Linked DNA regions of Coturnix japonica. The protein of the gene in region 1 interacts with the protein of each later gene in a pairwise test. Links are inferred from orthologs where the notes say so. Each region holds a gene or a part of one and is shown in the gene's direction. Other genes may lie near its edges.

Region 1 (5,226 bases):
CATGGCTGTGTGCTGCTGACGTGTTGGATGGAGGTGGACGCAATAAGTCCCTTTTCTTCCCATGGCTGATGAGATCTTTCTCTTCCTGTGGATGAATTCTCTCATTCCAGCTCGCCCTGAACATACGATGCAAATTAAACCTGGTGTCAAATAGACCTTCGAGAGGGAACTGGTCTTAGAAATGATTCCTACAAATCACTGGGATGAGCCTTTATGTGTGTTTCCATCTGGTTTCTCCTGCTCTGGATGCTCCATGTGATGCACACACAGAGCGGAGCTTCTAAGGAGAGAAAGTCCCTTCATGTCCAGCCATCCCTCTGAGCTTTGCATTTAGATTTCTGCTGTCTCTGTGTGCGGAGATGATTTGTCCATAATTACTCGCTTTCTCCAGAGTCCTTTGAAGCTCCTGTCTCCAAACCAGTCCCTTACATTGAGAATAAACCACTTCCAAGCCACCAATAAAATGTGAGCTGTGATTAAAGCCCGGCTCCTCGCTTCGGGAGCTGTTTCCTAAGTGAGGTCAGCACAGTAGGAAGTTTTGCCTTGTGTGCAGGGTTATGCAGGAGGACAACCCCTGTGCTGCACTGAGGTGTGGGGGGGCTCTGTGTGATGCAGGACGGAGCTGAGCTTTATTGAAATATATGGGGTTGTTATGTGGGAGAAGGTAGGAAGTGGTGGTTAAGGGCGGTCTGTGCCCTCTGGATACTCTTTGGGAGGATATTGTGATGGGCTTCAATTCTATCGCCCTGTTTGCTGCAGGAGGTTAAAGCCGCACTGAGCGCTGCCTGCATGGGGATCTCCATCTGACCCAGACAAAACGTGGGCTCACTTTTGGGTCTCTCCATCCCAAGTGTGTCCCCCTGGCGACCCCCCATCCCCCTGCGCTGCTAATGGAGCCCAAATCCCACCGCCCCGTTGGGTGTCCGTGGGGAACGTGGGGTCCGCGTTGTTCCGCGTGGCCGTGGAGTGACACCCCAAAGCTCTGGGGCTCCATTACCCAGCCGGGACCGTCCCCCGTGGGCTCATTTGGCCGCGGACATCACGGAGCTGCAGAGGGGGGCAAGGACGGCGGGTCGGTGCCGCTCGGAGCCGGGCGTTGAGCTGGACGCCGCTGGGGCTCCGTTCCGAGCCGGGTCACACCGTGATGCTGCGATTGAAGCCGGGGGAAGCAAAACACTCGGACTCACCCCACGCCGCCTTCCCACCCCGCCCCGCTCAGCGCCTTTCCGCGCTCCCAAACCTCCCCCGTTTATTCGGGAATCTCGGTATCTCTCCGCTCCCCCCATACCCCCTATATCCCCCTATACCCCCTATATCCCCCCATATCCCCCCGCTCCCCAGCACCGCCCCCTCCCCGCTCTCCTCTTCCCGTTCCGCCGCTCTCCTCGCTGCGGGGCGGTGCTGGGGGCGGTGCCGTTCTGTGATTGCAGCTCCGTTTCTCCCATCCCTCCCCCCCCCGCCTCCCCCGCGCCACCCGGAGCCTCGTCCCCGCTCCGCCGCTCGGCCCAGCAGCGACACAGCGCCCAGCCCGGCCCCGCAAAGCTTCTTCCCCCCCTTCCCCTCCCCCAATGGAGGAGCAGCCCCCGCACCACCCGCACCACCACCACCACGGGCACCACCACCACCACCACCACCACCCGCACCACCGGCACTTCTGCTATTACCCGCAGAGCTCCTTCCTGCCGCCGCCCGACGGCCGGGCCCAGCCCAAAGCGACGCTCCGACACCCGGAGGGGCCCAAGCGGAGAACAGGTGCGGGGCGGGGGGCGGCGGGCGGCTCCTGGGGGGGGGGCTTCATCCTTCATCCATCCTCCATCCTTCATCATCCTCCTCCCCCGGCCCGGCTGGAAGCTTCTCCGCCGCGCTGGGGCCGCTTCCTGTCCGCCATGTTGGAGCCGGCGCGGCTGCGGGCGGCGCGGGGCACGTGGGGCTGCGGAGCGGTGCGGGATGATGCGGGACGGGGTGGGAGCGGGGGGAGCGGGACGGGGAGCGGGGACAGGAGGAATGTGCGGGGGGAGCGGGCGGGACACACACGGTGTGCGGGGCGGCGGGACCGCGTGGGGCGGCGAGAGCGATAACGGGGGGGAAAGGCCGGGCCGGGCCTGCGCTGCGCGGGGCATGGACGGGACCAGCCCCTTTTACCCCGCACCCCCCTTTACCCCACACCCCGTCCCTTTGCACGCCCCTTCCTCGCCGCCCCCCCCCCGCCCCCCCGGCCCAGTTGTTGATTTGGGGAGAGAACGGAGCGGCCTCGGGAATTGGAGCCTGGAAGTGCTGACACGCCGAACCGAACCGAACCGGGCCAAACGTGCGGTCAGAGGGATCCACGTGTGTGCGGTCCCATAAGGATTCCCTTCCATAAGGATTCCCTTCCATAAGGATTCCCTTCCATAAGGATTCCCTTCCATTAGGATTCCCGTATCCCTTAGACCTGGAGCTCTGACATCTGCCCCGCATCTGAGGCTCCAGGATGCACAGATAAGGGCTGCTCCATCCAGCAGCGTTGGCGATGACCAGAGCATCCATCCCCAAACCGCAGCTCAGCCCAATCTGCTGCTGTGCCGGCACGTGTCCCCTTTGAGCGCTGCTTTTCGCGGTGCTGGAGGTGCCGTGGGCCCGGCCCGGTGCTGCAGGGACACGATGCCACCAGCTCCGGGCTGAGAGGAGCAGCCCCTGTTAAAGCATCCTGGGAATTTCCTCTGCGTGACCTGGAAATGGTGCTGATGAAATCGCTCTCTGGATTGCGATGGGCTTTGCAGGGCTGCCTGCTTTCCTCTCCTCGCATCCCTGTGTCCCTCCTGCTTTGTTTTGCTCCTTGTGTCCAACAACGCGCTGCTGTCCCTGTGCTGTGTGTGAATCCATGGGTGGTGCTCAGCCCTGCTCTGTGTGGATGGAGATGGTGTGGATTGGGCAGCAATAGGACAAGGGGGAATGGGTTGAAACTGAGACAGGGGAGGTTTGGGTTGGATCTGAGGAGAGGGTGGTGACACACTGTAGTGTGTCCCATGTTGCCCAAGGAGGCTGTGGGTGCCCCATCCCTGCAGGCATTCAAGGCCAGGCTGGATGTGGCTCTGGGCAGCCTGGTTGGTGACCCTGCACACAGCAGGGGGTTGGAACCAGATGATCATTGCGTTCCTTTGCAACCCAGGCCATGCTGTGCTCCTGCGGTGGTTTTATGGGGGAGCTGATGTTTCCCTATTTCAGAACACCTTGAGGAAACGGGGCGCAGCTTGTTGCAGTCAGAACTTTAATGCTGCACATTCTCATCTTTGCTCTTTTGTCTCTTCTTGGTTTCTTCCAGGCTATGGAGAGCTGAACGGTAACGCAGGGGACAGAGAGGTGTCACTGAAGTCTCTGTGCTCAGAGGAGACCACCAGCCCCACGTCCAGGGTGCCCAATGGCAGCCAGCAGCCCGCAGACCCCAACGTGACCCCGAAGCCGTCTGTGAAGGGCAGCTCTCTGGGGAAAGCCGCCATCAAACCCAAGAATTTTGTTCAGAAAAATAGCATGGACAAAAAGAATGAGAAGCCCTACGACAGCAAAGTGAGGGAGGCTCAGCCTGCCGACAAGCAGGACGGGGTGTCCGTCCCCAACGGCGTGGTGAGCGGCGGTGCCACCTACATCACCAATGGCTACGTGGGCAAAGGGGGGGCCGACAACGACGGGAGCGGCTCCGAGAGTGGCTACACCACCCCAAAGAAAAGGAAAGGCCGGCGCAACAGCGCCAAGGGCTGCGAGAGCTTGAACCTCACGCAGGACAAAGTAATGCAACAGGAGGTCGGCACGCCGGCCCTCAAACAGGAACTGGAGAGTTTCAAGCCTGATTATAGCGAGCAAAAGGGGAACCGAATTGAGAATACGAAGCCTGTTTGGAAATACGAGGCGGGGGGCGGCGGGGCGGGCAGGGGGAAACCAGGAATTGGAGACGTGCAGAGGAAAAACTCGGATGCCAAACCTGGGATTAGCGGCAAGAAGTTTGATGAGCGGCCCAAAGGGAAGCACGCTTCGTCGGCCGCGTCTAAGGAGGACTCGTGGACCTTATTTAAACCACCCCCGGTTTTTCCAGTGGACAATAGCAGTGCTAAAATCGTTCCCAAAATAAGTTATGCAAGCAAAGTTAAGGAGAACCTCAACAAAGCAGCTCAGCCCCCATCTGCGTCTTCGTCATCGTCGTCTTCATCATCTGCCGGGGAAGCTCAGCCCGCCCCGTCCAGCCGGCTGTCCCAGGTCCCCATGTCTGCTATGAAGTCCGTCACTTCTGCCAGCTTCTCCAACGGGCCCATCCTGGCCGGGACGGATGGCACTGTGTACCCTGCGGGCGCTCAGCCCCTGCTCGCCTCCGCTGCTGCTGCTGCTGCTCCTGTCCCTCCCACCCCCAGCGATGCGGTGACCCCGGACGTCGGCGCAGCCCCAGCGGCTGTGGAGCAGAAGAAATCCAACCTTTTTATCTACCCTTCCAATATGCAAACCGTGCTGCTGGGTACGGCTCAAGTCGATTTCCCGTCGCAGACGAATCAGCAGAACCTGGGAGATATCTTCCAGAACCAATGGGGTTTGTCCTTCATCAACGAGCCCAGCGCCGGCCCCGACACCGCGGTGGGGAAATCTGCCGATAGCCAGTCAATGGAAGTGACGTTTCAGGGGGAATATCCCGCCGCGTTGGTTTCACAGTGTGCTGAAATCGTCCCCTCAGGAGCTGAGCAGCCCGTGTTCCCCAAGGCGTACGAGCTGGACAAACGGACTAACCCATCCCCAGCTCTCAGCGCTGCCCCAAAGCCTGGGACTGCTGGGGAGGGCGGCGGTGCAGCCCTGGAGTCGCATCACGCTGGCGAGCTGCAAAAGGCAGAGGCTGGCAGCCAAGGTGCTTTAGTGTTTCTTTCAAAAGACTATGAAGTAGAGAACCCTCTGGCCTCTCCCACGAACAATTTGTTAAGCTCCGCCAAAGAACAGGGGTACCAGAGAGGCCTAGAAAGGAAAGATAGCTGGGGTTCTTTTGACCTGAGTGCTGCTGTTAAATATCACACTAAAGGTAATGGCTTCGCTCGCTACCTAAGGGCATGCTCTGTTCTCTCCTTGTGCTTTTCCCCCTCTATCAGTGCAGTGTAATAACATGATGTCTCTCTTGCAGCTGATTGTTTTGGAAAGGAGCTTTTGGTTGCCTGTACCGAATGGCAGCCACGGCTTGGGAAAGTGACTTGAAAAGCTGTTTTGTTTCTGCCGGGAGCT
Region 2 (5,268 bases), on another chromosome or scaffold:
TGTGCAATTTGACTGTGCTCACAGTTTGAAAGTGTCCTTGGGAATGTTCAGAGAGGGTGAACTCTAAAAAATTTACAAGAGCTAAGAAACATTTTTGGCTGATACAGTTCTAGAGGAGTAAATGCAATAACAGAACTTTAAAATGAGATGAAATGTAGTAAAAGTAGAATAAGACTTGTATTGGTGAAGCAGACTTTTTTGTTCAGGAATGCTGTGTGTAATTAACTCTCCCTGGGTACTGTGACCTACATACAGCTTTTGTCTGTGCATTCAGAAGCTGTTATGTCACGTTCTCTGGTGTTGAGGATCACTGTTATTGCAGAGTTCTGCATTACCTATGGGAGCATGGCACAATTCATACTCTGCTTTCTCATCCAAGGAGGGTAGAGTTAAGGGGATGCTACATAGCTTATGTGCCCTTTATGTTCATACATTACATAATTTTCTAAATAAACACTAAACACTAAATAAACACAATAAACACTAGCTCTATGTGCAAAGCAAGTTTTCAAGACCAAATCCAATTACTTAACAGAACCCCATTCTGTACTGTGAACTGTTCTACACCTCCTCAAGAAGACAAAGTCAAGGTAATCTAAACTAGTGGATTTTAGAACACGAGGAAACCATTTGACCATTGAAGTAAGTGAGCTGCTCCAACTGAAGTCTCACCACCATCCTGCACATAAGTGTCAGTAGGTGGTGTTGAAAGATACTCTGTTTACAGGGTAAACAAAAGAGTTTTTGTGTACCAAAAATGCTTTTCTTTATGCAACTCTTCTTACCAAAGAAAGATGTGAGTCTAGCAGGTAGTAGTTACCAAAAGGAACTGCAAAAAAATCACTTAGCCATAACAATCCTTTAATTTAGGAATTACATTCCTTTTATTTAGGAATAAAAAAATCACCACGTTACAAACTAACCCAAGATGTGGTTTGGTGCCCTTTTTATACTCTGGATTTTATCCACTCCAGCTGCCTGATGGAGACAGGAAAAACCAAAACATTTGTACAGTATCCCTTCTTAAGGGAGCCGCTTAGCTGATCGAGGCTGGATTCACCTCCCGTTTGCAGCGCTGGAGCACCTCTTCCAGATGGCTGATGAATCAGAGCTCTTCAGTCTGAGCCAGGAACAGACTTGTGCTGCACCCATGCCGAGATTCTGGCATGCATTAAAGATTTTGCCATGGAAAGCAAGAAAACTTCCACGGAACAGCAAATGAAGTATTAAGAAGTATATGAAACCAGTTCATCCACAAGTATGGATCATCAGAGCATCTGCTTTGCTGTAGAGATATTTCTAATAGCTTCAGTAGATCGTGCACTTAGAATATAACAGGCATGGTGAGTTGTAATCTTGCTGGCTCTCCAGATCATTGAGCAACACTGGTCCTGTGATGGAATGACAACACTACTGACTGTTAACTTTTGCCTAAATGAAAACTCACCCAGTTTTTGCTAGTTTTTTGATCCATGAAAAAAACACGACCAGCTTTGCCAGAATTCTTATGTGTGTGTTTTTCTTAAGCCCTGGAGAAGTTTATTTTAAATAAATTAATTGGTTCTAATTGGTCTGCAAAAATATTGACACCCCAGGGGAGAGTTTACATTTCCATGCAATGCAAGTGATGTAAGGAACAAGCTGTCAAAAGCAGCACTGAGCTTCTGGTGCTGTCATTTCGTTAATCATGTAGATAATGGAACTCTTATCCCATCAGCTCCAATGTGACTTCTGGGTGCTCAGCAGCCCTGAAGCAGCTGAATCATTGTTTCTTATGCTGTGTATCCACACTTTGAGGCCAGTTCTAGGAAAATCTGTCCTAACTGTTTCCCCATAATGATGGAGAGATGTGACAGAGATTTGATCTCATCAGACCTTCCAGTTCCTTGGAAATGAAAGGTTTTCCCAGATGGGGGCTCTACAGAAGTTCAAAGTATTCGTTTTATGTTTATGTCTGCATTTCATTTCTGTGTTCGTTTTGGGTCTAGCATAATCTCTGCAGCATCTGATTGCTTACCTCTCACATCTCGTAAATGTTCTGCTTGACCTGCCGAAGTTGTGCCTTGGGCAGAGTTGCAAAACACCTGAAAAGGGACCATATTTCCTTCCTCTTCAGTCAAAACTGGAGATCTGCAAGATACGTCTTTCCTGAGAAATTTCATTTCAAAACTTCTCCCTTAAGCACGGGGTCAGCCTAAAAAGGACCAGTGTTTGTAGACAAACCATTTGCTCTCCTTTGAACGTTTAATTTGTTTATTCCTGTTTTCAAATAATCCCCAAGCAATATAGTTCCTGTAGCTGTGATTGTCATGAATTCAAGTTATTCACCTCCCAGAGGGTCAGAACTTTCATCGCTATGCCGTTGGCACGAAGCTATGGGTGTTGCATATTCATCGTCCGAGACACCGGCTAGAGGGCCTCAAAAAAGTCTGACTTTTTTTTTTGTTCTCAGAACAAGGAAAACAATCCCTTCCCTTCTCCAGTCCCCTGATAAGAGTTTCTGTCCAATAACGGTGCTCTGTGCTCTGAGGCACATTTAACTGAGAAGTTTGCAGCGGGAGAGGCTTTCCTTCAAGCTGTTAGTGTTTTATCCTGGCAGGCTCCTCGAGATTGTTGTGAGGAGTCTAGCCAGTTGGTGAGCTTTGTAATCTAAACCAGCTGTCCCAGGCTGAGGCCCCCATTTGCATTGTTTAACATACTTAGAAAATGAAGTGTTCATTTTTAACATTCCTCCTCCAATTGGTTTAATGCTGAATTACAGAAGAGAACTAAGCAAAACCAGGTGCTTTCTCTGTATTCTCTCCAGTGTCTGAGGAGGTACGGACTGCTCCCGATCTTCTCCGTTACTTGCTCTTTCATTCTTTGGACTATAAATGACTGAGGAACTGAAGTGCTAGCAGAGGGTAATGTTTGGAAACACTTTCTAGTTATTCATCAGCACGAGCTCTGTTTTTTTTCCACCTTTTCCCAACGGTTTTGGACATGCAAGGATTAAAAAGGTAAGAGCTATGCATGAAACTTCTGTGCTTACTGAAGGGAAACCTACGTGTGGAAAATATCTGTGGAGAGGATTCGATATGCCAATCCACTTGCTGAAGCCATTTGCACGGAGACGGGATCTCAGTGGTCAGAGGTGGGGGAAGACGATCTGTCTGTTATTAAAGCTGAACTCTCTATGACAATTTTCTTCTTGATCTGCGCTTATATTCTGCACTTTAAGAATCCCAGCATCTGTGGGAGTGCTGAATTGCAACAGCGAATGGGTCCCCTGACTGCAGTGATTAATTTGAAGCTAATTAGTTACTACTGCAGAAGTTAATTACTATTTCAAAATACTCTGCCTGCCAGACAAGCTACTGTGACCAGTTGAATATAGCAGTGATACGGTGTGCTGCATGTCTGTTAATAACTCTGGAGGGGATAAGAGAGCTCAGTAACGAGCAAATTGTGATGGTGGCTGCAGACAGAACACGTATGAGGCAATAAGGTCACTCTCCATGCCGGCAGGGAAGCATGTATTACCCTGCAACAACGGAAAGACTGTCTAGAAAAATATGAATTGTGTCTGACTGATTTTACAGTGGGTATTGTTAGCATGCAATAATGTGAAGTGCAGCCCTAGGTATGCGAGGCAGCTAGGTGTGTTAGTGTTCAGCTACAACCTGCTGTACTTCCCTCTAGTGCTGTTACTGCCATATGCAAACTGAGGGTGCAGTCTCTGTATTCTGTGCTACTTTAAAATGACTTCAAAAAGGTTTAAGTAATCAAAATTGAAATGCAAGTGTAGGTGGATAATGCTGTACTTTGAATGCTTTGTGTCAAGGAAAAGTCTGTGTAGAATTTGCTTCTCCTTGTCACTCAGAAGCTGCCAACAGGCACAGCCTATCTATCTCCACAGCACTACGAACAACCATTTTAGAGTTTGTGTTTACTTTTCAGAGTTTGTGTCTGTCTCCACACTCAAAGCAAACGTGTTCAAGTGTGTCAGTCTCTGTGCTTGGTTTTGTCTGGTGCATTTCTAGGTCTTGTTCAGCAGCTCACTTCACACTGGAAATCAGAGACAGCTCTAAAAGAGAAAGTTGGCAGCTCACTGGAGTAGCAGAACTAAGACTATCTAAAATATCTTGTGATTTCTGTGCTGGTTTGTGGGAAACATACACTACTGCCATTCAGAACTAAAATCCAAGCTACGCAAGATTTAGGTTTAACTGCATTGAAAAGAAATTTGATGTAAGGAAGAGGCAAAACAGTGAAACCCACAGTACATAGAGAAAAATCAATTCTTGCTGTCCTGTCCTGGTTTTCTGTCAGTGAATAAATACATGGGGGTGCAGGTTAGGTGACTGGAGAGTCCCATGTATAGCCACAGAGCTCTGTTATTGGGGACCCTCTTCTGTCAGTTGCAGCAAAGAGACTCAGCAAGCCCCAGTAGGTGGTATAACACAGGAGATCTCCACTAAGGACAGCAGCTTCCAGTATCTGATGTCCTGTCATAGTCTGTGTACACACAGGGCAATGTATCACTGAGAGCTGGGGAGAAGGACAAAATCTGACCTAAAGAAAATGGATTAATCTCAAATATAGTCTCCTGGGGATGAAGTGCGGTTTAGCGGTTAGTGCAACTGGCTTGGATTCAGGACCTCCTGCATGTCATCTCTGCAGCCCTGCCAATGAGTTGCACGATGAGCTTAGGCATGGCCTGTTCTCTGGTTTACCCACCTGTAAAATGCAAATAATGTGCATGAAAAACTTTGATATTGTCAAAAGAAAGGTGCCACAGACAGGGGCAACAATGCTCTGCTGAATATTATGCACTTCCTCAGCAAACAGCTTCTCCATGGAACATCATATAAAACAGATTAGTTAGTTGACACGTACAGGCTGATTTTAGTCATAGTTTTATAAAACCAAAGTAAAACTACTGACTGAGATCTGAATGTGGCCCACAATCATATTACTCTCTCTCCAGAGGCCAAAAAACTCTGGAATGCACTGAAGTGTCACTAGAGATTAGTTTCTCTGTGTGTAATTAATTCTGTGTAATGAGCCTGGTTATCAGAAGGTTTTCAGCCTATTTTCTGTGCACATTACAGGATACTGACTGCTTTCACACTGACCATCTGCCTTTCGAGTCCTGGAAAAGCACAGGTGAGAGGTGTACAGAGAGATCTATGCACTGTTATATACTGAAGCACTATATGGCATGAGACTTAACTGGCTAGCAGGTGGATAGGAAGCTCTGTGGTCTGGGGTTTACATGAAAAGGAA

Evidence for each region.
Region 2: the proteins of NUFIP2 (region 1) and FBLN5 interact in binary tests that used the Homo sapiens proteins (3 or more experiments, as listed by UniProt). The link is inferred for Coturnix japonica from reciprocal best matches to the Homo sapiens genes NUFIP2 and FBLN5.

The regions. Positions count from the first base shown.
Region 1 is NC_029534.1:4,760,246-4,765,471, reverse strand, and holds the start of NUFIP2 (nuclear fragile X mental retardation-interacting protein 2), read left to right. Parts: upstream 1-1,458; 5' UTR 1,459-1,568; coding exon 1,569-1,752; exon of another isoform or gene 1,753-1,999; intron 2,000-3,301; coding exon 3,302-5,029; intron 5,030-5,226. UniProt on the Homo sapiens protein: Binds RNA.
Region 2 is NC_029520.1:40,373,240-40,378,507, reverse strand, and holds the start of FBLN5 (fibulin-5), read left to right. Parts: upstream 1-2,522; 5' UTR 2,523-2,982; coding exon 2,983-2,999; intron 3,000-5,093; coding exon 5,094-5,148; intron 5,149-5,268. UniProt on the Homo sapiens protein: Essential for elastic fiber formation, is involved in the assembly of continuous elastin (ELN) polymer and promotes the interaction of microfibrils and ELN. Stabilizes and organizes elastic fibers in the skin, lung and vasculature.